Linked DNA regions of Drosophila melanogaster. The protein of the gene in region 3 purifies or fractionates together with the protein of the main gene of each other region. This does not show direct contact. Each region holds a gene or a part of one and is shown on either strand. Other genes may lie near its edges.

The links.
Region 1: the proteins of CG13001 (region 3) and CG17260 purify together in Drosophila melanogaster (affinity purification with mass spectrometry, with the first as the bait; one large-scale study listed by BioGRID). This does not show direct contact.
Region 2: the proteins of CG13001 (region 3) and Hibch purify together in Drosophila melanogaster (affinity purification with mass spectrometry, with the first as the bait; one large-scale study listed by BioGRID). This does not show direct contact.

The regions. Positions count from the first base shown.
Region 1 is NT_033779.5:3,029,193-3,040,127, reverse strand, and holds CG17260 (uncharacterized protein), read right to left. Parts: upstream 2,899-10,935; 5' UTR 2,857-2,898; exon of another isoform or gene 2,725-2,856; intron 2,718-2,724; exon of another isoform or gene 2,599-2,717; 5' UTR 2,535-2,598; coding exon 1,440-2,534; 3' UTR 1,335-1,439; downstream 1-1,334. Other genes in the region: cnir (cornichon related), read left to right, coding at 408-485, 538-860, 925-997; SerRS (Seryl-tRNA synthetase), read left to right, coding at 2,978-4,483; CG17258 (uncharacterized protein), read left to right, coding at 4,886-5,107, 5,151-6,496, 6,555-6,945, 6,997-7,233, 7,294-7,577, 7,642-7,792; GABPI (beta4GalNAcTB pilot), read right to left, coding at 7,994-8,174, 8,235-9,128, 9,181-9,368; CG17219 (uncharacterized protein), read right to left, coding at 9,733-10,143, 10,196-10,708.
Region 2 is NT_033777.3:15,348,491-15,359,763, reverse strand, and holds Hibch (3-hydroxyisobutyryl-CoA hydrolase), read right to left. Parts: upstream 2,536-11,273; 5' UTR 2,447-2,535; coding exon 2,444-2,446; intron 2,375-2,443; coding exon 1,490-2,374; intron 1,284-1,489; exon of another isoform or gene 1,226-1,283; coding exon 953-1,225; 3' UTR 501-952; downstream 1-500. Other genes in the region: Cog2 (component of oligomeric golgi complex 2), read left to right, coding at 1-142, 199-481; Atg4b (Autophagy-related 4b), read left to right, coding at 3,136-4,090, 4,149-4,344, 4,412-4,488, 4,656-5,131, 5,192-5,494; Tmtc4 (transmembrane O-mannosyltransferase targeting cadherins 4), read right to left, coding at 6,296-8,413; Trs33 (TRAPP subunit 33), read left to right, coding at 8,844-8,912, 8,981-9,370; CG42727 (uncharacterized protein), read right to left, coding at 9,426-10,061; CG42726 (uncharacterized protein), read right to left, coding at 10,261-11,262.
Region 3 is NC_004354.4:16,937,556-16,948,277, forward strand, and holds CG13001 (uncharacterized protein), read right to left. Parts: upstream 5,317-10,722; 5' UTR 5,028-5,316; coding exon 4,020-5,027; 3' UTR 3,531-4,019; downstream 1-3,530. Other genes in the region: wus (wurst), read right to left, coding at 1,198-2,418; CG13000 (uncharacterized protein), read right to left, coding at 10,553-10,722.

The DNA.
Region 1 (10,935 bases), on a different chromosome or scaffold from region 3:
CAGCTGATATTATGTCAACAATAATCGCGAAGAACCGATACGTAATTTTTGTTATCGACCGTTCAAATTGACTAATCAATATTTAAACTAACTAAACGCTAGTATTTTATACATACAAAGATAGTTGGCAAACGGTCTATGTTAGTATGTAACCATGGCTTGGGTAATAAAAGTGCAATCCCAATGCATTACAATGAACACAAATTTAATTTTAATGAGTGTAGTGGGATATTTAAGGGATGCTACTTAAAAAAAACGCTTTACAACACTCTTTCGCAAAACGCAGTATGGAATATTTAGAACAATTTCTTAATTAAAAACAAATCAAACGCGAAATGCTGCAAATTTTGTAAATAGCATAGGAAAACATCGTATTTTTAAGTGAAAAGCGAATTTATAGTGCAATAATGTTTCTGCCCGAAACAGCCACCTTCTGTATCACCCTGTTGGTCTATGGAGCAATTCTCCTACTCCTTATTTACTATGTGAGTGTGGTTTTCCATTGAAGAGAAACATTCTGAAGGTACAAATTTTTAGGTCCTCACACTGGCGGATCTGGAGTGCGACTATCTTAATGCCCAGGAGTGCTGCCGACGCCTCAACTTCTGGGTAATACCCAAGTTCGGATCCCACGCCCTGCTCTGCGTGCTTCTGTTACTCGGAGGCCACTGGGTGATGTTTCTCCTTAACCTGCCTATGGTGATTTGGCTTTTCTACGAGCTGCATCGCCAGCGGCGCGATAGTCTGGGTGTCTACGATCCGGTGGACATACACAGTCGGGGATTGCTAAAGGTCCATCTGAGAAATTGTATGATTTATCTGGGCTACTACTTCGTTATGTTCTTCGTGGGGTTGTACTGGTGAGTTAGACGTTGAAAACTGCATGTTCATCTCTACGAAGTTATCTGATTCTTGTCTTTACAGCCTTATTTCGTCACTAATCAAGGGAGATCCCATCAAGCGGTATGAGGACGACGAAATAGTAACGGATTTCTGAAGTTTAGCCAAATAAGCCTGCACCAAAGGGCTTCCAGCAAATTTCTTCATCCTAGACCGAACTACCAAGCCTGGTTATAGTTGCAATCTAAAATTCTGTAACTAAAACTTAGGCGTACATCTAACAAACAAGTTTCCTCGAACACTTTCGCAGAATTTGATAAGAGCATTTGCCTGATTCTCACAACCTAAACCGAAAATTGATTGAAAATTTTCCTTAGACTAGTTAATTTATTATTTTATTTTTAAATCTTTAAAAAAGACTGTAACACCGCAGTGTGCTCAATTGCGTTAACAGGATAGACGAAACACTTGCCCAAACCAACCTAGTCGCACTTCATCTTCACTTTATTTATTTAATCTTTAGCAATATAAGCGTATTCGAATAGAAATCACAAAATACATAACCATACACAGTAAGCTGTTCTTGAGTCGATCATCTGTTATTGCAGAAAGTCGACCACCTCCTCCAGTTCTCTTTGGCGAGCCTGTTTCTGGGCCCAGCGCGCCTCTGCGGTCTTTACGCTGACCACCCACCGATCGTGAGCCAGCTTGATGCCGCACACAGTGTCCTCCGGAGTTTTGGAAACGGTGGCTCCTCCTCCCTGTGACCTGCCCATATAGGTCTGGGCATCGGAACGAGGATGGCGACGCGCGGCGGGACATAATTTGCCACCCTTTGGAAACGGAGGCTCCGATAGGTATTTCTTAAGGCAGCCTTGGTGAAAGAGATGACCACAGTAGACGCGCTCGATGAAGAAGTCGGCATTGTCATCCGTTTCTATGTCCTCTGGGTATTCGGGTAGCACGGTACTATCACATATGGGACAACGCTCGGTGTGAAAGTCCCGGGTGGCTTCCAGGCAGAATTTCAGCGAGCGTTGCAGACTCCTAACAGGCCGAAAATTGGCTAGAGCCTCCTTGCTCATACGGATCGGTGGCTCCACGCACTGCCGGGCTATTTCCTTTGACTGGCCGTTTAGGTAACGCACGAGCACGGCTGGGAGATTGGAATCTTGACCGCGCAGCTCCACACTCTGCATGGGATAGCTGTCCGGAACAACAGCGATTACTCTGTAGGTGTAGCGTCCGCCCTTGGCGACCAGCTCCACGCTTTTGTTCTTCTGCTTCAGCTTCAACTGGCTCTCCGTGCCTCCAGTCTTGATGTCCGCTCTCAGCTGCTTGATCTCCTCCAAGCACACGCACAGCGGATTATCAGTTAAATACTGTTGGGCGAAGGCCAGCACTTGCAATGCCTGTGGCTTCCCGATGAAATCCCTGGCATAGTCGTCGATCAGCCGGGTAAGCTCCGTCAGAAGCATTTCGGAGTACACACGACTCTTCAGCTCCACCAGAATTTGGGTGCTCTGCGGGTAGTTTTCTGGAAATCGAAGGCACATAGTCATCGAGCGATTCGGCCGCTCCGGGTATATGTCAACCCGGATCAGCGAGTTGGAGCAAATAATGATCTTCGTGTGCGGCACCTGCTTCTCACATTTTGCTCGGAACTCCGTGACTTCCTGGTCAATAAAGCTCATTGTTGAAGTCGGAATCTGTTGCGAATTCGCTGCTGTTCTCCTCCTATTGGACTATTTTGAACAGCTGCTAAAAGCAAGTAGTGTTGTGAATTGCTGACATGTATGTTTCAAATGATGACGAATAAAGTGTACGTTTTAAGCGATATTTATATTGTCAGTTATGTTATTCTGGTTATAAAGGGTATTTCTTATGGGAAATAACTAAACAGAAAATATAAAAAAACATTATAAAATTCTTGGGTTAACTTTTCAGAAGCACTTAGAAATTTGATGAGTCACAAGAATGAACTTCGTCATAATCTCAGCCAAAATATGCACTTACCACCATCGCTTTCCAGCACTGCCCAGCTGACGAAAAGCCTAGCCACGTTGTGAAAACGCCGACGAAACGCGAGAGAATCGAAGCTAATACGCGACTGAAACTGAAATAAAGGGTAACTAAAATGGTGCTGGATCTGGATCTGTTTCGCAGCGACAAGGGGGGCAACCCGGACCTCGTGCGCGAAAATCAAAAGAAGCGCTTCAAGGATGTGGCGCTGGTGGAGACTGTGATCGCCAAGGATACGGAGTGGCGTCAGTGCCGCCACCGTGCCGACAACCTGAACAAGGTCAAGAACGTCTGCAGCAAGGTGATCGGCGAGAAGATGAAGAAGAAGGAGCCGGTTGGTGCCATGAGCGAGGACCTGCCCGCAGACGTGACCAAGGACCTCACAGAGATTGTAGCCGAGACACTGCAGCCGTTGACCGTCAACCAGATCAAGCAGCTACGCGTTCTCATCGACGACGCAATGACCGAGAACCAGAAGTCGCTAGAGCTTGCCGAGCAGACGAGGAACACCTCACTGCGGGAGGTGGGCAACCACCTGCACGAGTCCGTGCCTGTGTCTAACGACGAGGACGAGAACCGCGTGGAGCGCACCTTTGGCGACTGCGAAAAGCGCGGCAAGTACTCGCATGTGGACCTCATCGTGATGATCGACGGCATGAACGCGGAGAAAGGAGCCGTGGTGTCCGGCGGACGTGGTTACTTTCTTACCGGAGCCGCAGTCTTTTTGGAGCAGGCTCTTATCCAGCACGCTCTGCACCTGCTGTACGCCCGTGACTACGTTCCCCTGTACACGCCCTTCTTCATGCGAAAGGAGGTAATGCAGGAGGTGGCCCAGCTGTCACAGTTCGACGAGGAGCTCTACAAGGTGGTGGGCAAGGGCAGCGAGAAGGCGGAGGAGGTGGGCATCGATGAGAAGTACCTGATCGCCACCTCAGAGCAGCCTATCGCCGCCTACCATCGCGATGAATGGCTACCGGAGTCTTCGCTGCCCATTAAGTATGCTGGTCTGTCCACCTGCTTCCGACAGGAAGTGGGCTCGCACGGACGCGACACTCGCGGCATTTTCCGCGTCCACCAGTTCGAGAAGGTGGAGCAGTTCGTACTGACCTCCCCACACGACAACAAGTCGTGGGAGATGATGGACGAGATGATCGGGAATGCGGAGCAGTTCTGCCAGTCGCTGGGCATTCCATATCGCGTTGTTAACATCGTTTCCGGTGCCCTCAACCATGCTGCCTCCAAGAAGCTGGATCTCGAGGCCTGGTTCGGCGGCAGCGGCGCTTACAGGGAACTTGTCTCGTGCTCTAACTGCTTGGACTACCAGGCCCGTCGTCTGCTCGTCCGTTTCGGCCAGACTAAGAAGATGAACGCCGCCGTAGACTATGTGCACATGCTGAACGCCACGATGTGCGCAGCCACTCGCGTCATCTGCGCCATCCTGGAGACCCATCAGACAGAGACGGGCATCAAGGTGCCGGAGCCATTGAAGAAGTACATGCCGGCGAAGTTCCAGGATGAGATTCCGTTCGTCAAGCCCGCTCCCATTGATCTGGAGTTGGCCGCCGCCGAGAAGCAGAAAGGCAAAAAGGAGAAAACCAAGAAGGACCCTGCCGCCGGTTAAGCCTAAAGTTCACATAATTTACTACGAAATATACTGCTAAACTAAGCTTGCAAAGTCCACAAAATTTTTGTTACTTATCGACTTATCTAATATTTATGGCATTTATAGAAACTTTATAACGATTAAACTGGATCAAGCTGTGCTTTGAATGCAATCGACAGTCTTTGTTATTAGGGGATAAAGGTTTTTTTTTCAAATGGCGGTATAAAAAATAATATCTGCCCAATAGATTCTATCCTAATAATAATAATGGTTGATAGGGAAAGTCACCCCGGCCGGCAGTTTTCGTTGTCAGGACAATATGTTCAACTTGTTTACGAAATTTTCCCAAGTTCACAAATCATTTTTAAATTGAGTAGACGTAATTTAACTATCACAGTGTGAAAGAATTGTTTTATAAAGATGTCGCATCCTAAGCGACGTGAGAAGCCGAGCAAGGAGACTCGCTGGGACCGCATACGCAAGCGCCACCTGCAGGCGAACCCTTTGGGACTAAAGACGGATGCAGTGCGTCGCCTAATCGAGACGGACTACGTTGGTAGGCGACAGGAGAGGCTTCTGATTGAAGGAGAAGATTCTAAACAGCTGAATCCTGGTCTGATAATGGACATGCGGCATAAAATGGTAAATATAAGGGATTATAATGATTAATAAGAAATTCAAATAGTTTCAGAAGATACCACACAAACTTCCCTTGGCCACCATAGCCCATGACCCAAGCAACTCCCTGGAAGCCACCAAAGCGCACAATCTTGAGGTGGAGAAGCGTTTCATTGATAATCAACTACAGAAGTTTCGCCAGCAGTTGTCCAGGCAGTTCCAGCGGACCAAGTCCCACCGCGTGCCGCCAACCAAGCCGGATTTTAAGCTGAACAATGGACCGTTGGTGAAGAGTCTGGCACAGGCAGCCCAGCACATAGATAACTTCTATAACACTCCCGTCCAGGCTCTGAGTCAGATGGCACAGATGTGCTCCGAGACCAAGTCGGAGGCAACCAAGAGTCTGATCCAGCAACTGAGGGCAGAACCAGAGAAGGAGGCGGAGGCGGACATGGATTGTGAGTGGACGGAGCAGGAAGCGCAGGTGGTAGAGATACCCGCGTTTATAGAGGAGCAAGTGATTTCATTTGATGCCCTTGAGTATCGTAACTTCACCAAGCAAGTCCAGGCGGATGAGAGCAAGGCGAAGCTTCTACGGTGCCGCACTCCAAGTCCTCTCACTTCCACCGAGGAGTTCTTTCGTCCCATGCGGGCGGCTGCCGAGCGCCAAATGCTCCATGTCCGCACCGTGCGCCACGAGGAGGACCTGCTGCAGGAGAACAAGCAGGCGCAGCAACCAGAAGGTGAACCTTCCTCACTAAAAAGAGAATCCTCCACCTGCTCAAACACCAGCGATGGCATAGACTCTGTAATATCCGATTTGGCCGAGGAAGCGCTATATGAACTGCAATTGGAAGCAGCTGAGAAGGAGAATGAAGAGCTTGACAAGGAGTTGCCCGTTCCGCCAAAGCTTGTGCAATTTCAATTGCCCCCAAAGAAGAGTCCAACACTCACAACACATCCAGTTGGAGATTCGGAAGCTGAGCCTGAACAGGAACCGCTGCTCATCCGCCGCATAGAACTGCCGAAAGTAGTCGTCAAACCCAAGGAACCCGAGCTCAAACAGCCGTCCAGCTCTAGTGAAGATGAGTCGGATGTGGAGCCCACACATGAGAAGCAGAAGATCATCGAGCAGCTGTTTCAGGCCAGGGCAAACACCCAGTTGGTAGTGATGCGCAAGTACTTTCTCAAGTGGATACACTTCACAACGATGGAAAAAATTGAGAGAGAGCAAGGGCAGTCGTGTCAGGCGCGAGACACCCGGGTGCAGAAGATCAACGCATTTCTGGACAAGGTGCGACAGGAAAAGAGGCGTCAGCGCACAGAAACTGTGGCCGAGACTAGCAAGACCACACAAAAATCGCTGGAGAAACGCGAGGAGGCCGTCAAAATGGCCAAGCAGTTTAAGAACAAGTAGGTCTCAGCTAGACACAGATGACAAATGTTTCTAATACTGTTTTCTTTCTTCCAGACTCAAAGTGCAGCAGGACATCATTGACTTACAGCGCATCAAGCTGGAGCGCCAAGAGCGACTTATTATGCAGCTTAAGCTGTCTAAGCTCAGTGACGAGGCCAAGGAGGCCCGCGAGGATCTGAAACAGGAACTCAAAACGGTCATCCGGTGCGGGGATCCTAAGGCGAAAGCCAAGGCGAAGTGCTTGCAGCTGATCGGCAACCTGCGCGATGCGGATGACGAGGAGATGGACCGGCTGCAGGGCAAAGCCCTGCTCCAGCCACGGTTTCTGCAGCACATGCAGGAGCGGGCCACAGAGCGGAGCATGCGTCATGAGCAGGCTCGTCAGCGGAGGGCTCAGGCAGAAGCCGAAAGGGAGGCAGCCAAGCTAGCTCTAGAGGAGGCTAAGGTTTGTTACTACATTCATTTAAAGCTTTAATCTACCTGAACTTGTAAACAGCGCCAGGAGGACGAGGAAGCCAAACGGCTCAGAATGGAGGTCCTTAAAGAGAAGCGTCGCCAGGAGAAAATGGCAAAGGTGCTAAAGGAGCGCGAGCGTCAACGTTTTATTGAGAACCAGCGGAAGGCCGTGGAGTTCAGTCGCAAACTTTTAAAACGGACGGGCATGGAAGGCTTCAAACGACTGCTGGAGCGGAAACGTGAGAATCTTGTTAAGAGCGAGGAATTCCGTTGCCGGGTAAGCTTTCATATGGGTGTAGCTTTTCCTCACTAACATCCTTCCATATTCCAATGGCAGTTGATCACAAAGAACTCCTTCAGTTCGTGGCACAGCTATTCGACATACAGACAGCGCGAGAAGATCATCAAGGCGGAGATCTGTTGGCACAACATCCTCAAGCGGCGCGCTCTGTATGCGTGGATTTTGTATGTGCAGAATGAAAAGAGCAAGATGCTAGTGGCGATCGATTGGCATGCACTGCGCTCCATGGAACACTGGTTTGCGCGGTGGCACAAGTATTCCACGCACTGCCGGATGATTGAAGACAGCAAGACTCGGCAGGCCATCTCGCACCATGAGTGGTAGGTCCCTGTAAAATAGAATTCACTGTATTATGTATCATTTTCAATTGAACCAATTTAATAGGCACCTGAAATGGAAGGTCCTGGACTGCTGGCGACGCTTGCCGCAAATCCTGAAGATCGAGAAGGAAACGGAGGAGCGACGCCAGCGGTGGCGCATGAAAATATGGGAGCTCTTGCCTGACTACAAACCGAGAGAGGACAGCTTGTGGTAGCTACTAGATAGAACATTATTACTCTTGTTCGTTGTGCGTTTTGAGTTACTTAATTATATTTATTTTAAATCAATTTTAAATTGCAATAAAGACTTCAAAGCGGTACGACTAAGTACGACTACCGAGAACAGCGTTAAGATTTGAAATACTTTAGTATCTAAGCGACATGCTTGTGCTTTTTGCTTTTTGGTGTGTGAGTAGTCACTTTAAGATGGCTCGCCAGTTGCTCCAGATTCTGTTGCGTCCTGCGGCGTTGGAGGTGCGCTTGTATTCGTGCAAGGTGGATCCCTTCCACCACAAGTAAGCCTGTCTAGCGAGTATAAAGGCTATGTAGGAAGAAATGAGCAGAGCGTAGCAAGCCACCACAAAGGAGATTCCGAGGCTAGAAACAGAGTGTGCATAAGAAACGTTAATTGGAAATAGAAACAAAGTATCTACTCACTCGAAGCCTTCGAACACCTCACTGCAGTCGTCGGGCAAAAGAACTGGATAACCAAGCGGTCGCACCACCATAAACGGATGGCAAATGGAAGTGAGGGTCAAGTTTGCGCCGAGCAGCAGAGCGATCTCCGACAGGGCCAGTCCAACAATGTACCACACGTAGTTCCGCTCGCCAATGCAGCAGTTTAGCCAGTAGCTGTGATGATCGCGCCTCTTCACGCAGGTTCCGCAGACGGGACAGTGGTATGCCCGCCTTGGAGTAACCTTCCGGCAGATCTCGCAGATATTGGGCTGACCGTGCATCAAGCCAGATCGCTCAGCAGTGTCCATATCCCCCACCTCGTCATCATCCAAACTCAGCACACTCTCCATCTGGAGTGTGGTCTGGGCCTCTGCCTGCTCCTCGCCACTCGAAGCCTCGGCGATCCCAGGCAGCTCATCCTTGGGCGTGGTTCCGTATTGAGCAGAAACAAGATTCAAGGGCGACAGTGCCTTGGCGGAATAGAGGCAGTACAAAGCGGCACAGGAGAAGAACATTAACGCGTAGTTCTCCTCCGGAGCCAGCTCCAGCAGAGGAACCTGAAACTCAAATATGATGATCATGTAGAACACCGAGAAGACCAGCCAGCTCAAAAAGAAGTTTGTCCGCGTGGCGGTCCGCTTAGCCAGCTCCATGCCCCAGATGGTGAAGCCCACCAGCGTGAGCATCAGCACTATGGCGGTCTTTGAGTTCAGAGTGGCCAATCCCAGCATGAGGGGGACAATGAAGGCGGGAGCAACGGCTGCGGGCGAGATTCGCTTGGCTCCTCCGCGCCATGGCAAGCGCAGTCTATCCTGGAAGGCGATGAGCATGCCGTCGATGTTCCTTCGATCAATGGCTCGGCAGGTGACAAGTCTGTGGTAAATTTAATTTTAATTGTAGACGGCCTTTCATTTATGTATCCTACCTTGTGCAAACTAAGTCGAAGTCCACGCAGTTACAACAGCATCCTAGGATGTGGGATCGCTCTCGACTGTCCTCAGCCACGTACTCGCAGCAGCAGAGACTCCCGTTCTCCTTACTCTTGGACTCCTCAGCCTCTGATCTCCAGGCTGCAGAAAGAAAATTGGAGGTGCCGGCTGTCATCAAGAACATCGATTTGGACAGGAAATGGCGCGGCGAACGTTTTTTAATGAGTTCCGAGCAGCGTGTACGGAAACAGTTTAGATTAGATTAGTGCACGCCCTACTGGCCGAGTGGAGAAATGTTTCAAAAGTAATTATCAGATCCGGGTGGGTCCATTTTAATTGTTTTATTGGAGTACAACGAATTTGCTTACAATTTCTCCGGAATAACGACAACTACAACAACACAGCTGACGAACGTCCCTCCCTTACAGGGTGCCCCGTGTAAAGTGGGCTGCCAACTTGTTTTATGCTACCGCTATGTTTTGAACTTAGATCTCTTATCATTATTACAAAGTTTAAGAATTGTGTTATAAATAATTCCAAAATATATTTTATTTAAATTTCAATTGCAAGATTCCTCTTTTTAAGTTTTCGTCTGCCTGCCAAACACTCTCACTTTGGAAAACATTTCCCAGCCTAATGTTCTCTGAAAACTGTTCCAGGCCGCCACCAACTCCAAAATAATGAGATTTTGCGGCAACCAAAATGACTCCATCGGATTTTAAGCGACCAGCAAAGGTATCCAAGAGCTTTTGCTGATTTGCAATATTGTATATAGTCTCAGAGGTAAGTATTAGATCGTATTTCGCCACATCCCTTGATAGTTCAGCAAAATGAGACCAATCTCCAGAATATAAGGTTGTACTGTTGTCTAAAAATTTCAGCTTTTCATCTTCAGATAAAGAGTCGTCCAAATTTAGCAGGATATTTGGATATGTTATGTATTCCAGCACATCTTTGTTCTGAAAATATATGATTGCAACCAAACTATTTCAAGACTTATTGTTTGCTTACGTAGTCCTGAAAATCCACCCGTGCGCCGTGTTTCATAGCATATATACCCAGCAATCCGCAGCCACATCCCAAATCTAGGACTCTTTTCTCCTTCCAGAATGAGTCCTCGTACTTTTCGGATAGATATAGTAGAAGATCTTCAGTGCATTCCCATATTTTAGCACCGCCCTCGTAGACACCGGAAATCAGATCTGAATGATTTTCCTCAGACTTCCTGAGATCCAGGTTTACCAAGTGGGATTGCTCCTTTAAATCCTCCAGCAGAAACCCGGCCACAAGATGTTTTATCGTCATCTTTCCCACCTCCATTTCCTTGGCGTTAAGCTCATAGAAATCCATTGCCGAAATTAGGTTATCCAGTGGTTGTACTTTCTCCGAATTGTACCAATCTATATCCTTTGTGATACCCGACTCACGTTCTTCTGAATTTTCCTGCTTGCTAAAAATATCATTTTTAACGGCCTCTGGATCTTCCGAGGATTCCGCCTTCACATCAAAATTAAATTTGAACATGCTTAGAAGGTAGGGTGTTGAACTGTTTTGATTTTAGCAGATACTGCTTGTTAAATATCGTACTGAAATGGACAAATTAGCATTGTTAAACTGGTAATCTATGAAATATTTTAATATTTACCTCCTTAAATCAGCTGTCGGCAAAAACCACGCTTTTCGTACTAAGATCGCCCTGTCCTTTGCGTTGCCAGCTTGATTTAGGGTCTCGCATTTTCATATCGAATATA
Region 2 (11,273 bases), on a different chromosome or scaffold from region 3:
GAGAGGTTCCCACACGATGTTCGAGCTATGTGGAGCAAATGCTGCGACCGCTGAAGGCATTTGCCCAGCAGAACGAGTCCCAGCTTGGCACCCTGGTGGTGGAACAAATCTTGGCGGAAGTTGCTAGTCACATAACCAAGGCGTGAGTATAATTTTACGATGGGTTCGAATTTCTCTGAACTTTTATTCGCACTATAGGTACTTCAATGTGGTGAGCGATGTGCTCACATCCGTACAGAAAACCGAGGAGTCATTGCGACGCTTGCGAAATGTAAAAAGTGGCGGAGCCGCGACTGTTTCGACTGGAAGCTCGGCTGTAATGTCTGACGATGATAAGATTCGCGTCCAACTGCGAGTGGATGTCACATCCTGGAGGCAGGAGCTGTGCAAACTAAACTTTCAGGCCACCCAGATCGATAAGCTAGTCGAGCTGACAAACATGGTGGAGGACAGTATCAAGCTAAAGGATAACAGCGCTTAGTCACCAACAACGATCAGTTATTAAACGTATACACTTCTTTTTATTCTTGGTAAACGAATTCTAACGATTCTTTAGGCACAATTATTGATTGTATTAGGACTACGAATTGTACATAATATATATAGGCATATATGTATATCATATATTTAAATGCATTGAATTTCACAATCGTTATTGGTAAATACCGGCGAATAGGATTCTTCCTCGAAGTTATTCGCTGTTGGAATGAAACAGAGAAGAGATTGCGGAAAATTAGCCGACAGAACTCATCAAACTGTGGCCACAGAACGCTAAAGATATATAAAGAATATTGCAAAACGGCAGGCAAGGAACCATGCATAACATAACTCAAGCTTGCAATGATATATACAAAGATATTAAGTTGTGTGCATATAAGAATGAGCGGCTCAACGGAAGACAAACAGGATTGGATGCCAAGGCTCAAACAAAAACAAAACTAAGCTTGCTACATTACAGCTTGAGTTCCTCGGTGTCCGGTAGCTTGCGGAAAAACCACTGCACATGTTCCTCAGTGACATCGGCCAGCTTGGTTGGCTGCCACTGGGGCTTCTGATCCTTGTCGATGAGTAGGGCGCGCACTCCCTCCTTGAAATCACTTCGCTCCAGATGACGCACGGCCAGACGATATTCCATAATAAGACACTGAGCCAGCGACAGCTGTGATCCGAGCTCCAACTGACGGAACGTAACCTTCATCGAGGTGGGAGACATCTTCGAGAGCGTCTAAAACAAAGAAAAAAGCAATGTGTCTGATTTCAATAATAAAATTCAACTCTAATAGAAAAATGCAACAAGGTGTGGGGTGTGAGTTTGTGAGCTAGTGTAACTTATTCAGTTAAGAAAAGTCGTGCAGCAACTAAAGCGTTGCTAATTGGCTGGAAACGGATCAAATATTTAGGCGCTAAAAGCGCGCGTCAAGCGATGATTGGCCCAGCCAATTAACATCCGATTGTGTTCTTATCACTTAGTAAACTGTGCCCCACTCACCTCAAGCGTCTTCTTGGCCCATTCACTGCCATCGTTCTGCAGATTCTCTAGAATCCCCTCCACCGAGTCCGCTGAAAAGTTCTTGTTGATCTGCTCCAGGACAGGCTGCAGCGAGAAGGGCTTTTCTGGCGGGGAATGGTACTTCTGCAGCAGCTCAGGCACATCATCCGCATCCGGGCAGTTAAGGAGAGCCGTCTCCAGATCAGGGATCTTGCTGCTCTCGCAGTAGTGCGTAGCAATGCCTGAGTAATAGACATCGGCTCCGCGCAGTCGATATCCTGTGAGACCCAGATAGAGGCCCAGCTTTCCCTGCAGTCGAGGCAGGAAGTATGATCCACCCACATCCGGGAAGAGGCCAATCGCCGTCTCGGGCATGGCGAACAGTGTCCGATCGCTGGCCACCCGGTACTTGCCATGCACACTCAGACCCACGCCACCGCCCATGGTAATACCGTCAATGATGGCGATGTAGGGAATCTTATAGTTTCCGATCAGGGCATTCGTGCTGTACTCCTCCCGGAAGAAGCTCTTCGACTCATCCGTAGGGCCAGCCTCGACCAGAGCGCGCACATCTCCACCGGCGCAGAAGGCCTTGTCACCTGTGCCCTTGATGATCACCAGCGACTTGGACTTCTCGCACTTCTTCAGGTGCTTGTAGATCTTGCGTACCATCTCCAAGTTGATGGCGTTAAGCGCCTTGGGCCGGTTCAGAATAATCATTCCCTTGTTAGAGGACTCCGTGGCCAGCACGGAGGAGGAGGATTGGCGAACGGAGAGAGCCATTGTTGTTGGTTTTGTTTGGGATATCGTTGCTCCGCCGATCATCGGCAATTGGCTACAGGTGCGATGACCAAATGTGTACACCAACCTTTGAATTGGGCCCTGCTGGACGGCGACATCGAATTGTTTTCGATTAGCTAAGCGCTTCTATTTGCAGGAATTTGCATTACTTACCATTTTGAGCGGCTGTCGTCAGTAATGTTGTGTGTGGGGCGAAGCGAGTGTTTAGAAATTCAGCGTTGCGCAATAGAATTTTAGCACCCGCACAGCTGGTCATTCTTGTCGCGGAGCTGCCAGACCGCACACATGCCGGAAGTAAATAAGGGTGTTCCAGAAATCGTTTTCCGCGTAAAATATTACTATTAAATGGACATGCCAAGGGCAGACCTATACCAGGCGCCTTTTAATTTATTAATTCAAATATTATATGTATAAGAATTTTAGATAAAGATACAAATTGTTTAAAAATAGTTTAACACAAACCTGTTGATAACAAAATTCACTATTCATTTTGAACTCATTAGTAGATAAACGTAAAAAAGAACACACATTACCTACATATTCATAATAGAGCAGATTTGCAGTCTGGCAACACTGAAATTGGCAATTGTACTTCTCGCGAATAAGAAAAACAAATTTCGTGGAGTTACTTTATCTTATTTTGTCAACAAATAAACGGTGAGTAAACATTTGTAATTAGCACGCAATCGGTGGTCGGTTGTCAGTTAAGCCAGGGCCAGCAAGGGGCTCGCACCAAGATTACAATGCCGCAGTTCTTTAAGTTCCGCAAGCTGCGGACAAAGCGTCATAGCTCTTCTACCACTTCCGCCTCTGTTTTCATGTCCTCGTCCACGGCCACCAACCAGATGAACTATGACGGCCTCCTTTCCAAGTTGACCGACGAAAAACTGATGCTCTTCGAAGCCGCCGGCGAGGGGACCATTGTAGAGGGTAGCCGGATATGCGGCCAGGATGCGGATCCGCTCTCCTTGCCGCTGGTGGAGGACGGCGCCATCGAGGAGGAGCAGGCGGCCCCCATACAGACGATTCATCGCACTGTATTCGCCGTTCCACGCGTCCCTTCCCCCTCCCCCGTAAGCACATCAGGTGCCAATCTGAACCTCAAGACGGAAAACGCTGCGACAGCGACTCCGCAGCGCAAAATATCGACGTCATCACGTTTCATGAACGCCTTCAGTCAGCTCTACGGCGGCGGCAACAGCGGTCCGAGCTGCGGTCACGTGGAGCAGCACAACGAGGAACCCGGTGACCTGTCGGCAAACCGTACTCCCACCAAGGGCATGGAGTCCAAGCTCGTCGCAATGTGGCACAATGTGAAGTATGGCTGGAGCGGCAAGATGAGGCAGACCAGCTTCTCAAAGGAGCAGCCCGTGTGGCTGCTAGGACGGTGCTATCATCGACGCTTTACTCCGCCCGTAAGCATGGAAAGTTCCATCACCGAGCTGCCCAGCGGGGCGGATACCACCCCCGATAACGCCACATCGGCGTTCGACAGCATTCAGGCCACATCGACATCAACCTCCTTGTATCCAGCCCTTAATCCGCAGCAGATCGATGAGATTGTGGTGCCCCAGGAACTGGGAATGGACGCGGTGGAGAACCAAGTGGGCGAACAGCCTTGGGAGGAGGGCATCGAAGGCTTTCGTCGTGACTTTTACAGTAGGATTTGGATGACCTACCGTCGAGAGTTCCCAATAATGAATGGCTCCAACTACACCTCGGACTGCGGTTGGGGCTGTATGCTAAGGAGTGGTCAGATGCTCTTCGCTCAAGGACTCATCTGTCACTTCCTAGGGCGAAGTAAGTTAAATGAACCCGCACAAATATGTTTGATTACCAATAAACCTTTATGCTTCAGGCTGGCGCTATGATTCAGAGTCCCAGTTGCACTCGACTTACGAGGACAATATGCATAAGAAGATCGTCAAGTGGTTCGGGGACAGTTCCTCAAAAAGCAGTCCCTTCTCCATCCACGCCCTGGTGCGGCTGGGGGAGCATTTGGGTAAAAAACCTGGCGATTGGTACGGTCCCGCCTCTGTTTCCTATTTGCTTAAGTGAGTACAGATCTTTATCGCTTTTTTAATCTTTATTAAATCAAACAACTCTTCAACTTCACCACAGACACGCCTTAGAGCACGCGGCTCAGGAAAATGCAGACTTTGACAATATTAGTGTCTATGTAGCCAAAGATTGCACGAGTAAGTTCAAGCAGAAAGGAATCCCTTAATCAAAGATTCATAAGATAACTACCATGACACATTGATATGTTCATGAGTAATTGCTGCAACCTTGTTCGCGAAGCTCATTACTCAGGGGCTCAATTGATAACGTATGTGATTTGATAACCGTCTTTGTGTTGTTTTAGTTTACTTGCAAGATATTGAGGATCAATGCAGCATTCCGGAACCGGCGCCAAAACCCCATGTGCCTTGGCAACAAGCGAAGCGGCCGCAGGCGGAAACTACCAAAACGGAGCAACAACAGCACTGGAAGTCCCTCATCGTTCTGATACCTTTGCGCCTGGGCAGTGATAAACTGAATCCTGTGTATGCCCATTGTCTGAAGCTGCTGCTGAGTACAGAACACTGCCTGGGCATCCTTGGTGGAAAGCCAAAGCATTCGCTGTACTTTGTCGGCTTCCAGGAGGACAGGCTCATCCACTTGGATCCGCACTATTGCCAGGAGATGGTGGATGTGAACCAAGAGAACTTCTCCCTGCACTCGTTTCACTGCAAGTCGCCGCGGAAGCTTAAGGCCAGCAAAATGGATCCTAGTTGTTGTATCGGCTTTTACTGTGCCACCAAAAGTGATTTCGACAATTTTATGGAGAGCGTACAGTTGGTAAGCAAAAGCCAAACATTTCGTTTTCCAACGTCCTATTAAATATCTTAATTTCAACAGTATTTGCATCCTATGCGTTGCGCCTCAGGGGCAACTGTGGATAAGGCGGCCGGGAGCCATCATACGACGCCTCAGTCATCCCATCAAACCGAGCAAACAGAGATGAACTATCCATTGTTCTCATTTTCCCGCGGTCGTTGCATGGATCACGAGCGGGACGAAATGAGCGATTCGCTGTACAAGCCGCTCATAAAACAGGTGGCTTCTCTGGCCCAGGAATTGGGCGCTCAACTGGCGCCGCCACAGCACGGCGATGAGCACGACCAAGATGATAGTGAAAGCGAAGAGTTTGTGCTGCTGTAGATCGTTGCCGCCACCACCACATAACCCTGTTGCTGTGCTAGCTGTGTTATTTGCTCATTATTATTTGATTTAGTTGCCAGCCGCTGCTGCTTGCTTGCTCGCCCAGAAAAACCCAACAGACCCGTATCTCAAACACAAAGACTTTGTTGTACCTTTACGCCTACGCATATAGTACATAGACGCATGCATGTATCTTGAATATTTACTGATGTCCACGTTAATCTCTCTTTTGTTCGACCTGTCGTCTCGCATTCTGCCAAAGTTTTTCAGCTATTTCCATGTTCGAGCAGCCCGATCTGTTTATATGTGTTATATATAAACCTATGTAATTTGCGGTATTATTATTTTAAAATCATGAATCTTTAATGGAATTGAATTATTTTACAATGGTGCCACAATTGTCACTATTCTTTGAAGTATTTCATGTAGCGCTTAGTTCTAGAGTTTAGTTAAATTATGTAAGTCGTCTTGTAATTGTTCGATCATTATTTAGTTTTAACATTAATTGTATATACCCTCGAGTAAATGAATAAACTATCCTAACTTATACTAAATACAATTAGGGTGTCATGAGATTTTAGCTGATGGGATATGAATGTATGATATAGATACAATATTGCACGGAATTAAAATTAAATTAGACTAACTAGTTTTAATGTCTTTTATGAATAAGTAATTTAACCCACAACCTCGTCTTTCGTTTGGGATTATTACAGCTTGCGAAGTGTACATACCTCTTATTATTTGCAAACAACCAAGATTTTGGTTGGATCCATATTTGGATGGTGGGACTTGAAACGCTTATCTCTGCATGACTTGCGCCTCCCTTTCCAGGCGTTTTAAGAGCTTGCTGAGATTCTCCCGGGCTGTCGTTGCTCTAGCCGCACTAATACTTATTGCAGTCCGATAAGCCTCTATAGCCTCCTGCGTCTTGTCCCAGCGATGATAGAGAACTCCGAGATTCGTGTGGTACAATGTGTTGTGGGGCTCCAGCTCAATAACGCGCTTGTAGATCGCCTCCGCCTCCGTATAATGTTTTAATTTGCCAAGCACGTTTGCTCGAATGAAAAGGATACTGACATCGTTGGGTAGATGTTGGAGAGCCTGATTAGAGATGCGCAAGGCGTCATCCTGCAACCCCTTGTTGTCCAGCATTGTCAGAATGTTAGCCCAGGCTTTTGGCTGGCGGGGATTTAGTGCCACAGCATGCTGCCAATGATGAAGCGCTTCGGCGTAACGTTTCTGCTCCAGATACAGATTGCCCATGTTGTAGTAGCAGACGGCGAAATTGGCTCTGTACTTCAGGGCCTTCTCATAGCTGGCCAGAGCCTTGTCGTACTTTCCCTGAGCCGACTGCACAATGCCGAGATTCATCCAAGCCGCTGGAAATGCGGGATACGCCTGCAAAGCCAATCGAATGTATTCCTCGGCGGTGGATAGTTGACCGTGCTCCCGATACAGGTTGCCGAGGTTCATAAGAGCTGACTCATAGTTCGGATACAATTCAATGGCCCTGTGGTAGTGCTGAAAGGCTTTCGTATTGTTTCCCATATCAGTGGCCAGTCGGGCTATGTTATAGTGTACCTTGGCATTGTCAGGACACACCTGTAGCGCGGACTTGAACAACTGCTCCTCGTTAAGCCAGTCAGTAGCTCGCTGCCGAGTCCGTACCATCATAACCGAAAAGAGCAGCATTAAAAGAATCCGTAGAGCAGTGCGCCAGTGGGTGTTTTCCGTACTGCTGTCATACCAATATAAGAATCCATAGATGGACAGCAGGCAAAAGCCAATGGAGGGTACATAGAGCGTCCGTTCGGCAATCACGAATCCTACGCAAATGATTCCCGACGCGGGCAGGAACGGGACGATCATTAAACCCAGAGCTAACATCATTCCGGGCAGCCGTCGGAAGTTCATCAGAGCCACCAATACGATGGAGTAGAATCCGATGACGCCCTGCAGTCTCAGATCCCAGATGTTGGTCACCAACTTGACGCAACCCAATGCCCAGTCGTAGCATAGCCAGTGGGGGCACAGCATCAGCCAGATGTTCATGACCAGCAGATACTGCTGGGAGAGCCCACGGGTCAGCACGTGCTCATTGTGCGCAACGGGGTTGTCAACTTCCTTGAAGGTAGGCGTCTCAAAGTCCTGCCACCAAAGGCGAGCCGTCAGCAGACCCAAGGTACCCAGCAAGTAGAACAAGTAGCTGATCCGGGTGCGCAAAAGACTCCACTGATCCTTGAATCGCAGATGATAGTAGCCGTTTTGAAAGTAATCCAATAGTACACACGACATGGGGATGGTCACAGCGGACTCCTTGAACAGCATTCCCACAGCGGTGAGCAGCATGATTAGACCGCCAGTCTGTGGACCAAGTCTTCCGGTATTGGCCACGGTCAGCAGAAGACACAACAAGTGAATCATGCCGAACATGAGCTCGGCCCTTCCAACCACACCAGAAACCGCCTCTGTGTGAATTGGATGGGCGGCAAATAGAGCAGCGGAGAGGATGGCCCATCTTGCCGTGCTGACCTCCGGAACATAGAGAGAGCGAATCAATCGCCACATGAGCAGCGTGTTGACGCAGTGTAGCAGGAGGTTTAGGAACTTCATGTGGGCGGCACTTAGCCCCAGAAGGGCATACTCGCAATGGAACATCAGGGTGGTCAGTGGCCGAAATGATTTGTGGGAATCGGAACTGAGCAAGGAAGCACCCCAGAAGTCGTGCGTGAAGATCGCCGTCCAGTTGGTGGGCAGTGAGTTGACATCCCGGTTCTTGACGATGGCCACCGTATCATCGAAGACAAACTTCGCTCCACTGAGGCCACCGCATCCGTAGCATAGCAAACAGATTAACACTAGGATTGCCTGACAGACCATGCTATGCAGCGTGGCTTTGTGAACGAGGTCTAGCATACTGGATTATTTACTAATTGTCAATTGTTCAAGTTTAATTCACTTATTCTGCGAATTTTAATCGGAATTGTTTTGTATACATTTTTTGTTGTGTTTTTGTCCAAACACCCCCTCACTGAATAGTGATGCCAGATCAGCGATAGAAATGTGTGCAGCTTAGCTAAATATATGCATCGAAAAATATATGGTTATAAAATGATTTGAAATTACGCTAAATAGATCTATCAAATCTGCTCATTTTAGAGTATTCATATTAAAATAATTATACATACTCTTGATATTAAAGTATAAATAATAGTAATAACAATAAACCACTAAAAGCAAACAAGACATTCGCCCGTTAACGCTTGCAACAGCTGTTTAAATCTAGATCAAAACAAATCCGAGGAAAAATTTGTTGAACTCACAAAGAAAAATTAAATCCTCGAAAATGTCTGAAGAAATCCTTTTCGATTGCCTCCATGCAGAGATAGTCAATTATTGTCTGGATAGCAATAAGGTAGGAACACGAGGGACGCAAAAAAAAATCAGTCATACAACCGATTTTGATTTGGTTCCGCCTATTAGGAGCACGACCTGGCCACTTTGGAGTATATAGGCTTCACCACCGGCTACCGCCTGATTGAGCGGCTCACCCGTGAAGTTTCGCGTTTTAAGGACGAGTTGGAGACTATGAAGTTTATATGCACCGACTTCTGGATGCTTATATACAAGAAGCAAGTGGACAACCTGAGGACGAACAACCACGGAATGTACGTTGTGCAGGACAAGGCTTTCCGCTTTCTGACTCGCATCTCGCCGGGCACCAAGCAGCTGGAGCACGCGCCCAAGTTCGTGGCCTTCACGTGCGGGCTGGTGCGAGGAGCTCTCAGCAATCTAGGCATTAACAGCACCGTGACGGCCGAAGTGCAAAGCATACCCGCCTGCAAGTTTCACATAGAAGTGAACAGGAACTAATTAGGATGTAAGGCAATGGTTTATTACTACAATTATAGAGATACTACAGACTAGACTAGGCTATCTTTTCGTAGAATGCCACAATGTTGTGGTCAGTCCAGTTAAGGCGTTCTCGCAGGATCCACTGGTCGATGGGCAGTTGGGGCTGGGCGGGATTGGGATCTGTGTGGATTCCCAGGGCGGGCAATGGTCCAATCAATATAAGCCACTTTCCTTGATACACATTTAGATAGTCCAGAAAAGCTCCTCGATTGTTGAAGTAGCAGAAGAGCAAGGCACACGGATGAACGTCACTGCAGCATTTGGTCAATAAATCCGTATCCAGTTGGCTGGCATCCTCTAAATAGTTAAGCGGTATAAAACTTCGAACGGAGTACTTGCTCTGCCACCAGTTGCGATCGACCTCCAAGCCAAACATGGGGACTTTCCGACCTCCAGACACTGTCATAAGCCATTCCAAAAGCCCACTGCCGCAGCCGATGCTCAAAACTCGCTGGATGTCGTGCATGGCTAGCAGCTGATTAAAGTAGTCCAAGTCCACCGATGTCGGCCACATCCAGAGCAGCTTGCGCTTGAGCTGTTGGTCCAGGCAGTCGCCCAGGACAAGCAACTTGCGCCAGTTGCACGACGCATCATCAGTTAGGTAATAAATTTCACGCAGTGTCTCGAGTTCCGATTGCTCGTCCATCATATTGAATACTGTTAGTTGCAAATTAAGCGGTCTTGCTGCTTCCGATGGCCGGTGAACTTGGCAGTGACGCCGGCACGCGGAAATATGGCTAGCGGCCAACAAGATTGCTGCGGTTCGCTTCGGTTCGCAGCACCTGACTGATCTCTAATAAATTAGAGGACCCCTTTGAAAAAGGGCCAACTCATTAGAGATCATATCGTCACTTTGTGTTTTCTTCTTTTTGGTACCAATATTTGAAATTCTTGCGCCAGTGCATCTCGCTAAATTTGGAGCTACCTTGCCCCGGGACACGCGGCTGGTGATGTTGCATGGCTGGTTCTTGGGCATCGGGGCTAGGTTCGCTAGAGTATTCCTCGTTGTCCAGATCCAAGATGATCTTGCGATACAGCTGGACATTCTCCTCTGGCATTACATCTGGCAGAGGCAGATGCTCTGGGACAGCTTTCCCTTTCTCCATCTGCAGTTCAGGGAGTTGAGATGGCAGTGGCGTAGATTGCAGCAACATCACTGGCTCAACGTTGCCCACACTCTGGATCACACTGTTGTATCTTACAGTCTGAGATGGTCTTTCTTCCGCCGTCGTGGCCTCCTGAGCACTGGACCTCGGTGTAACCATTTCAACAGTACTGGCAAACGCACAACCAGGGTGCATGGATCGCAGATGTCGCAGCATGTTGTCCTTTCGGTTGATAGTGATGTCACATTGGATACAGCGGTAGCGTTCGGCAGTCTTGTGTTGTCTTAAATGTCGGCCCAGAGCATCCGGATCATTGTAGCTTTTGCCGCACAGGGAACAGGACTGACGTTCGCGATTTGAGTGGCGCTTCATGTGCAGCCGAAGCGTGGTTTGTCGCAGAAAGGACTTCTGGCACACTTTACACATGTGCCGAATATTGTTCTTGTCGTGTTTCCGCAGATGCTGGTTCAAATTGGCCTTGTTCTGGAAATGCTTAGAGCAGAGCTCGCATTTAAATTGCAGGCCGAGATCGCTGTGGATCGCCAGGTGGCTGGCAAGAGAGCTCTTGCGGCGGAAAACCTTCTGGCAGATTGGGCACAAATGCTTCTCCTGGTTGTGGGTAAGCATGTGGCGCTGTAGAACAATTGGTTGCTTGAAACTTTTGTGGCAGACGCTGCACGAGTGTTTTGATTGTTTCTCATGGCTCATTAGATGGTACTTTAAATGTGAACTGGTAGCAAATCTCTGGAAGGAAA
Region 3 (10,722 bases):
TGTAAAACCCCTCTTTTTTTGTAATTGAGTTTTTGTTTTTTGAAAAAGAAAAAAGAAAACGTGATAATCTACACACGCCCACACGAAACACAAAAAAACAGTCACAACAAAAAAAAAAACAAATATATAAAAATAGTCAAATTTGTAAAGCTTAATGATACTGGTCCTTTTGAAATATATATATTTAAAAAATATATATATTCGATGGATCAGTGCAAAAATGGAAAAACAAACAAAACGAAAAGCAATTAATTAATATATAAAAATATCTTTAAACAAAAAAGCAAAAAATCTAGTAGGCAAAATGTTATATACACATTTTTTGCTCAGTATTATGTTTTAAACTAAAATTAAGCGAGTTATTGTTTCCTGTTTATATATTTTTTTTCGTAAACCCTATTTTTACGATTTTTTGTTTTTCCGATTCCGATTTCGAGTTTGATTTTTTCTTCTTCTTCAACAAACTCGCTGCGATGGCAATTAATACTAAAGTGAAATCTAATGATATATACCATAAACACATCTACAAAACGATATATATACATTTTTTATCGTTTTATTTAAACGTTTTACTTAAATATTAATGGAAAAAATACACGCACATAACAAATTTGTGAGAAAAAAAATTACAATAAATATTTTTCTTTTTTTTTTTTTGCTTAGTCTTGTAAGTAGTTCATTATATTATGTAAAATATATAAAATAAATAAATGAATATAAATCTAATTAAAATGAATTCTTTCACTGAGAAAGGGAAACGTGATTTGGTAATGTTGTGCCGGTCACGCGGTAATTAGTTAAAGGTATTTTCTTAACGGACGAAACGTAAGCGCAGCTAATTTTCTATTTTTTCTACTCGCGTCGACGAACAGTTCAGTCGATTTAACCGACTAATAAGATACCCAGTATAAGGAAATTTTCGATTAGCATTTGGTGTTTTGAATGAATTTTGGGGTGCTTTAATATTTTTAAACACAGTCTTGACAATAAACAACGCAGATTTATGGTAATAAATACATGTGGAAACAGATACAGCTAAAAACACCATTAGGTAATTAATATGAATAACATTTAGAGAATTCGCAATATGTGCTATAGCAGCATTTAGGTACTATTGCTTTAAGTAAGTAATCGCATTTAAAGAATCTTACTTCCTAGTCGTTATAAATACTTAGACTAGATGGAGGAAAGCGCCGCTCAAAGGACGATGGCCTCCTCCTCCTGGTACTGTTTGTTCTTGCGCCGCCGGTTGGACTTGATCTTGCTGAGCACACTGTACGCCTGCTGGATTTCGATAAAGCGCTGGTGGGCCTGGGCCCGCAAGCCCTCGTCCTTGACCTTGTCGGGATGGTACTCCTTGGAGAGCTTCCTGTACGCAGCGGTGATCTCTGCCTGCGAAGCGGTGGCACTTACGCCCAAGACCTTGTACGAATTTCGTTCGCCATCCACATCCATGCTTTCGAACACCTCCTTCCAGGTCTCGTACCAGCCGTGATGCTGCGCATAGTTATAGGTGTCCAGCAGGGCTTGCTTCAGATCTGTCCACCAGGCGGAGGCCAAGAAGTTATGGATGGCCTCGTGAATGGGCACCTCGCCGCCGTCCTCGTCCGAAATGGTGCCGTTGAAATACAGGAAGCTGCCCCAGAAGGCGCAGTAGATGATCACGGCGGTGGTTAGCTTAAAGGTCCTTTCACCGGGGCTTCCCCTGCGCGGCGGAGTCCTGCGCCACTGCTTGGACAAGCCGTCGAAGGTCAGTGCCGCCACGAGACCAGTGAGCAGCAGGGAGTAGGTCTCGTCATATATCAAATACCTGGCCGGATACGCCAGATAGGCGGCCACCAGGCAGTGCCACCATACACCCTGCTCCCGGCCAATGTTGCCCACCAGCCAAACGCCCAGCGAAACAAACAGCGGAATCGTCCAGTGTAGGAAGCTCAGATCCCAGCCACCGACCAGGGTCTCCGGAATGGCCATGGAGCACACCTGGCCGAACAGATGGCCGATCATCACCTGGCCCACGAATCTCTTCGAGGAGTACGGCGGTTTCGGATACGCCTGCAGCTTGGCCACGAACATCTTGACGAACTTGGGATCCTCGTTGGCATCCCGTACATATTCGGGTATCAGGAAGAGCTCGCCCATCCAGCCAATGCCCATGTAGCCACCCAGGGTGCACCACCAAATGAAGGCGTGGCGGTCACGGTGCAAGTACAGATGATGCAGGCCGAAGATTCCGCCGAAAAGCCAGCATAGATAGGCAATGACCACCGATTTCTGGGGCGGCAGAGCGTTCATCTCCTTGCTTTTGGTCTTGCCTTGCGCGTGGCCATTGGACTTAGCCTTCGAGGGAGATCCTTTGGAGGTATCGTTGGTCTTATCCTTTCCAGCCACTGGAGATACTGTCTGCGTGGTGCCCATGGTGTTCCAATCGGATTACTGCAAGGGAAGGGGGCAAAATTGTTATGATAAACGGAATAATTCGGAAGTAGTTTTACTAACAATATTATGGAAAGAGGACAACTTTTAAAAAACAACATAACATAATAAACATATGTATATTGGTAGTACAACATTAACGATTATTCAAAAAATTGCAATTATGAAATAATTAATTAGCTTAATATATTAGCGTAATATATGTTGAAATAGTGGCACGCTGAGCAATAACATAACAAGCATATCTAATATACAACACATAACAATATATTAAAATATATATGAATATTTTAAGTAAAGTAACACGATTTGATGTAGCACATTTAACTGATTGAAGATAAGCTTTACGTATTTTAAATCAACGAATAAAGAACGGTGGCCTATAAAGAAAACTCTTATGAAGACTACATACAGCAAAGAGTTTCGAGGATATATAATTAATTTATTGTTATTATTTTAGTTCCAGTCTTTAAACATCACTTTTTGGGCCACTTTCCGTGAAAGATACTTACCCACTTGCGATCGACCTCGATTTCTTGTGAAATTGTCGCTGCGCAGGCGCAACTTCTTGGCCACGACTGTGCGAAGAATTGGAGAAAGAGAGGCGGAGAAAGACGCGGCGCAGAACTTTCTCTTTTCACAAATTCTACGCACGCAGCGACAACAAGAACAAAAACGACAAACTGATCCACAAAAACAAAAAAAAAAAAGAAAACCAAGTGCACTGATGCGTTCAATTTGAACTGGTTGTTGCTATGTTTCACTAAAATTGCAATTGAAACAATTTGAAACAATACGAATTTGTTGTTTTGCGGGCTGGATTAAAAAATTGAATAAAAATCCGAACTTTTTGCTCGGCTTAAGCTAGGTGTGACCAAGTGCAGGGACAGGCCAAAATACCATGGATCTAAATTTTAGTACGTTGTATATCTACAATACTCTTTAGTTCACAAACGATGTATGGCAAATGTAAAATGTATAAAATATAATGCAAGTATATAAACATCAGTTATAGTTATTGTATTAAAATACACACATATAAAATCAAATCCAATAATCCAAATAATTTAATCTATAACCAAAAGAACCCATTTAAAAATGAAATATTTTTATTGATATTTGTGTTTTTTTTTTGCTGCTTAAATATAACATAGTTGCATATTTAGCATGGCTTACATGTATAAACAAAATTTTTGTTCTCGATAATTTGACACGTTATTTGAGCTTTTAAAAAATACTTAGCCTATGATTATAGTTAAAATAAAAATCAAATTCATTGAGTTTACCAACTAAAATTGTTATGAGAATTTGTTAGCGGCCGGCGTGTCATGAATAATTTCTTCATCGATTTTCAAATACACTAGTAATGTATAAAATATTAATGCAAGTATTTGACATTCTTTTAAATCTTCTCCGATAATCATGAGCACACCCGCCTTGCGTCGTTGTAATACTTTTCATTGGGATTAATAATAAATAGATGAGGCAAAAAAAAAAAAACGCATTCGATTTAGTGCGCTGAGTTTCCGGAACCAGCTCCGGACTTAAGATGAGTGTAGTTGCTGGTCTGGAGCGGTGGCCACTTAGTTGTTCTTCTTCTTGGGCTTCTTCGGATTGCGGGAGCGCGACTTGGCCTTGCAGAGCGGACAGATGGGCGCGTTCCGGTGGATCTGCTGGTGGCAGGACAGACAGGACTTCATGGGCGGCGGCTGCTGGCGGAGATTCACATTGAAGTCGGAGCGGAACGAGGGATGGTGGCCGATGCCGATCGAAGGCGATTGCTGCAGTCGATTGCTGGGCGGCGGCGGTGGCGGTGGTGCTGAGAAGTCACCCTTGCCCAGACGCACTGCAGCAGCAGCGGCGGCGGCAGCAGCACTGCCTGCTCCCGGCGGTGCGGGTGGCATGAAGGCGTGTCCAGGATTGCCGCCACCACCGCCTCCGCCGCCCACAGATCCTCCGCCACCGCCTGCAGCGCCGCCACCACCAACGCCGCCCTGTCCGCCGCCAGAAGGCAGCGCGGTGACCGTGGCCTCCGGCATCAGAGGATGCCGGGCATGCGGACGGGCCAACGACGAGTTCTGATTAACCGAGGCCGCCGCCGCAGCTGCAGCAGCTGCTGCTGCCGCCGACTGGGCGGCCACCTTAAGGAAGTTGGTCTGGAAGCGATCCTTCGAAATGGGACTGCCCTCCTCCTCGTGCAGATCTCGCAGCGGGCTTAGTCCGAGATAGTCGCGGCGCATGTGATCAATCTGGTACTTCAGGGCCAGGTACTCCTCGTACACCCGGTTGGCCATGTCGAAGGAGCGGGTCTGGTTCTCCTTCGTCTGCTTGATGATGTTCTCCATGTCGTTGATGTCCGCGTGGATCTGGCGCAGCTCTTCCACGTGCGACATCTTCTCCTCGAGCAGGTGCTCCATCTCCTTGCGGTACTCCTCCAGGCACTTCTCCTCGTCGTCGCTCAGCTTCACCTCCTTGATGATCCGCACTTTGAGCTTCTCCAGCGACAGCGTCTTGTCCCTGATGTCCTTGATGGCCTCCAGTTTGGCGTAGTAGTGCCGCTCATTGGAGCTCGAGATCTCGCTGGTGGCCATTGTAGATCCAAAACGATCCGTGTGGTATAATATGTGTATTTTCGAAAGACTCTCGAGTGTTTTCTGTATGGCCCCCTCCACTGGGCGAATGTTTATTTTGCACTTTTTCACTAGCCTAATAGTTCGATGTCGGATTTTCCGGCCGATTCTTAAGCATCTGATATGGATGATCGCGTCTTTTGGGATAATCCTTTGGAATGGCGCACTTTTAATTGATTTTTTCTTTATTTATTTGATTTTTTCTCTGCTAATGCTAATACCATTTTTTTCTGGTATACAATGCAGTGTTACCAGAGCGTGGAAGTAATTTTTACATTTAATCACGACCAGCCGATTATTTGCTATCGATAGCTGGCAGTGCGGTATATATCGTTTTTTAAATAGAAAACAAATTCCTTCCAATTCCAATTCCTTATACGTACAAATTTACTTAAATGATTACACTATAGTTAAAGTGCTTTACTGATTTTACCGTGGGCGCTGCTTTAAAATTTAAAAATCCGGTAAATTCCAGTTGCTGTGGCAAAAAACTTAAATCTGGCATTCATGCCGAGATAATATTCAGTTAACTATTGATATAAAATGTTTCAGTTATATGGAAAGAACGTTAGTATTAAAATTTACATTATTACATATAACTAAAATTAATAACTTGTATCCTAGCTACTAGTTTAGTAACTAGTTTTGCCGGCATTCGCTGTCTTTCCGCCAACGGTCACACTAGGCGCGCCCCGTTATATTACATTATGCATTTGTATTCTTCGATCGGTCGCAGATCGTTCGGATCGGAAAATCCGGTTCGGAAAGCGGGCATTGGGGACAAAAACAAAGAATCTTGTTCTGGTCATGACTTTTCCATCCGCGAATTGTCAACTTCTGTTTAGCGAATAGTTGTTGTTCCCTTTTGGAGACAACAACAAAAAAAGACATCGATCGCGCGAGAGAGAGAGACAGATGCAAACAATGCGTACGCGCGCGTATGTGTGTGTGAAACATTCCGCAAGTGATTCATTCCGCAAGAATAATAAATAAATAAACAAATATTAGTAAACTGGGCCGAAATGTTTGTGGAAATGTGTCAACTAGTTGCGGCAGTAAAATATCAGTGCAATATCGATATGTGTGGGAAATCAGCTTAGCAATTTAGCAGAGACTTTGCTTTTCGCCCACCGCTCTCTCCCTCTCTCTCACACTCTTTGTTTTCGTTTTTTATTGTTGTGCTCTGGTTGTGTTTGTGTGTGTTGTGAATATAAAACGAAGTTAAGTTGACCACGCAGAAACTGCATACGAAATTTTTAACAAGGAAAAAGCGAAAGGTAAAAGCGATTTTTATTATTTTTATTTGAAAGCCGCAGTTTCTTTGCGATCTCTTTTTCTGCGGGCTTCGATTTTCAATGGTCTCTTCTCTCTTCAATGCGTTCTAATCAATCCGTGTTTACATACGGGCTGTGTGTCTGTGTTAGTTGGCTGATAATTTTTAGTGACAGCTATGTGCCAAATAATAGTAATATCTACAATAAATCAAATATAAATAATGCGAAATACGGCAATATTGATAACATTGTGAATTTTAATCATTATACTTTGAAATGTTTAAAAACATTTCGTTAGTATATGTTTATATATTTGTATTATATTTTAATTTAGTGTTTTTGCCACCTATGCGTTTTATGCAATATAATGATATTTTTTCCTAAATTTATAAAACCACTATGGCTGTGTACACATTTGTATGTATGATAATTTTTGACACACATATATTTCGCTTCTAACTGCTTATCGCTCCCATTTAGCGATAGACTGTGCGAGCGGGACAGGTGTCACCTGTTGCGCTTCTTCGCTCCATCTCTCCACCGCTCTTCCCTCTCTCTCTCTCTCTTTCCATCGTTTGACACATTTTGTTGCTGTTCTTAATTGTTTGGCAATTAAGTCAATTATAAACATATTAAGACAGCCGACACACATTCTCCGATTGGATGCGCTTTTCCCTTTGACTTTCGCAGAAGAATCAATAACCAAATTAATCGATCAATCCAGGCGATAAGTCCGAAAATTGGGCTAAATAAATAAAAGCCTCTCAAGATCTTTTAGTTATGGTAATAAATAAAGTACACTATGCATAAGTTCGTTGGGGTACGTGAAATACAACAAACTCGTGAGTTGACAAATATTTGGATTTTTAGAGCCTAATGTATCTATGATCCGTAAACATTATGATTACTAAAAGATAATGTTAGCTGCTCACTCTATGTGCATTATATTTATATTAAATGGGAAGAGCTGTAATCTATCATCTCTTACTTATTTTAATAGCTTTTTCTTGTTTACAATTGGAACACATCAAGTGAACTAAAGGTTTGTCAAAACAATATGGTAAATGACCATAAATCTGTAACCCTTCAGTAGGTACACCTAAAGATTCTTATTTAAACGTATTTCGTTGGCAAAAAGAGTTACAGATGAACGGCATAGCTGCACGCTTAGTATTCTCCTCGCGATAGTCCAGGTAATCAAGTGTCTGGGATTTCCTTTACCCTCTAACGATCGCTTTGTGGATTCTTCTTTTTCTACCTGTCTTCTCGTTTCTCTGTGTATAAATCAAATCACAAATCGATGGCAACTTACATACGACAAAAAATGCTGTCAAACAACTTGGAAATCGAGTCGCAAGTCGCGAGATCGCTTAACCCAACACTGCCCCCCTCTGGCTCTCCGATTCTTCGCACTCCCTGGTCTTATATAATTGGGGCCATGGAAGCGTTAAGTCGAGTGTGGAACTATCTGTGCCCATTTCCTCCAGTTCAGTTTCAGTTTTTGTACATTTTGCACCATGAATACGATCCCGGAATGAGGGACGAACAGTTAACTCAGCTTATTTTTACTGTCGCCGCTCTTATCGCGCTTATAAACATAAACAAAAACAAAGCTCAAACACAGTCTGTGAATCAGAATCAGAGAATACGTATATATACACAGGGAAAATATCATTCTCTATATCTGTTTCTGTACTTGCAACTTCAGTTATTGCAATATTATCCCAAGTACTATCAAAACTCTTATCAATTTAATTATCAAACACTCTGAGAATAGTACACAGTCGTTGACATGCAAACTAGATGCACGTTTTTTTTTTCGCAGTGCACTATCATATAGCCATTGCACTTGGTCCATGGAAACTGCTGTAATTAGCAAAATAACAATGCAACGAAAGAAGAAAAGCATAAAAACGCAAGGGGAGAACGCAAGTGATTCATGCGAATAAATAAATGACTATCCAATTGCAAATGCGCATGAATGCATCACTTTATTTGCATGCAAACATATAAATATGAATTAAGTCCAAGCGTTTTCATATTGCACACGGATATATGTATATAATGTGTTTGAATATATATATTTTTGGATTGGGCAAATATTATCGCAACGGAAGTAAGCCCTATTAGATCGTATAATTGCGCAAAATAATGGATCACAGCAGCGAAATATGATACATACATATACATACATATGTATATACACATAAATCAAAGTTGGCTTAAATGGCACTCCAAGTATTCAATGGATTTATCGTTATCAAAACTCAAACCTCTTCATCTGAAATAATGCCTTTGAGAAAATAGTATCTGGATTTTAAGTTTTATATTTATCATATATGGATATTGCTTATTGCTGCCCTTGATGGATCCAGAGTTTTGATTTGCCTATCAATTTTACCATATAATCCCCAGGATTTCCACACCACCATCTATGGCCGGTCATTCATAATGTAAACTGGCACTCAGCTCTATATAATTATCACTCTTGGGTGGCTCGTCATTGTTATCGCTCTTTTTGCCCAGCCACTATAAATACGAACGATATCTGGACAGAACGTGTATATAGAGAGTGTTTTATACTATACTATCTATATGCACTGGGTACAATTCACGAGTATCTCACCACACGAAAGTGTGACACATTTCGGTCAAATCTATGGTGACAATAATTGAAGAGCAAATAGTTAATATATGTCTTGTATATTTTGTTACATGCAGAGAGTCAAGATCGTTTTAATCTGAATACCTAAATCTTATGAGAAATGAGTGCAATAAGAAGTTCAAAATTTCATATAAAAATTAAAACCAGAATGCCTTACGTCTATGAAACGCAGATAAAACGTATATAGTCCACATGGTCACAGAATTGGGTAATTGAATGTGGATTCGTATTCGTGATTGTGTGTGGCAAAACAATTGATTCATTTGGTCAGCACTCGCTTTACTATACGAGTCGATTCGAGTATATATATATTATACCCCGTAGTGTGAGAGCGTAAAATTTGAAATTCGATTAATCATCGAGGGGGAGACACGACAGGCGGCGTAGTAGTAGGTCTAGCTGATATTCCCGGGAAATAATATAGGGTCCGCTCTAATGTGAGTCATCCATCAAGTTCATTCATCCAACTTATCCGGCGCAATATGCAAAAAAAAAAAAAAAAGAGAAGTGCCCGGCGACAATAACCGCAACAATGGGTTCGTTTAAACTTTAAACGCTTATAAACAAAATCATCGAGGCCGAGGGAAGTGAACTATTGCTGGAGTGGAGGAGAACTCCCATTTGAAGTGGGGCGACCACTTAAGCGACAACGACAGCAATTCCCGGCATGCCCAGATGTTCCACTCTCTGCAATCCCATGCCAAACGATCCAATCCGATCCCATCCGATCTGGTGGGGTCTGGTCCACTTTAGACGCTGTCGAGAGTTGAAAAGTTCAGGGAATTGCAATGGAAGGAAAGCGTAGCAATGGGAGGGCCCAAGAAATTAAGATCATCAATGGAGCAGTGATGTAAACAACTCTCAAATGCCAGATGCTTGGGAGTAAGTTGGGTGTATTAAGCTTTTATCTACTATATCATATAAACGCAAAAACCAGAGAGCACAGTGCCGTCCTATGGCTCGACTATTGCATACCCATTCCCTCAAGTAATAGATATGTGTGTGGTTACTTAAGTACTAACAGCGTTTTGCTTAGTTTTCAGTAAACCCAAAAGCAACTTATTAATGGTCATATTACATCCTTTGGGCATATGGTCTACAAAATTCCACAGAACTGCAAACTTTGTTTATTGAATTTCAAACTCAAACTTATCTTTGTTTTTTAGTTTTCTATCAGACTTTCTAAGCTCGCCGTTGAAAATGTGCTGATAATTGCACTCGGGCAGTTTGCGTATTGTTTATTCAAATCTCTGTTTCAATCCAACTGAATAAATAATCGACTGAAAAGCGCTGACTTTGAAAGCGGAAAGTGAAAGCGCATCTGTGAGTGGGGGAAAAACTAATGATGATCGAAGAGGCGAACCTTGTTGGTCGTTCGAGAAGAAATGCAAACACGTGTCTTTAATTTCCGCACTCTCTGCATTTTTTATTTGCACTTGCCTCGTTGGCACTTAATTATGTGGCCACTTAAAAATTGCGAATACTTGGGCATAATCTAAGCGTAAATTATAAATCTAAATAAATTATGAGCTAATTGCACGGCTAGTCTAATTGGAGTAGTCCAGTCGCCTCCTGGCCAGAGCCAATCGGATGAGTCGGCGCTGCTCCAGTTCCTGCAGTTGCTGCTGGACAAGCAGGCGATGCAGTAGCTCCACTTTGGCGTACTCGTGGGATTTTCGTTGCACCCGCTTTTGCTGCTCCTCCACGAAGGCGTCCA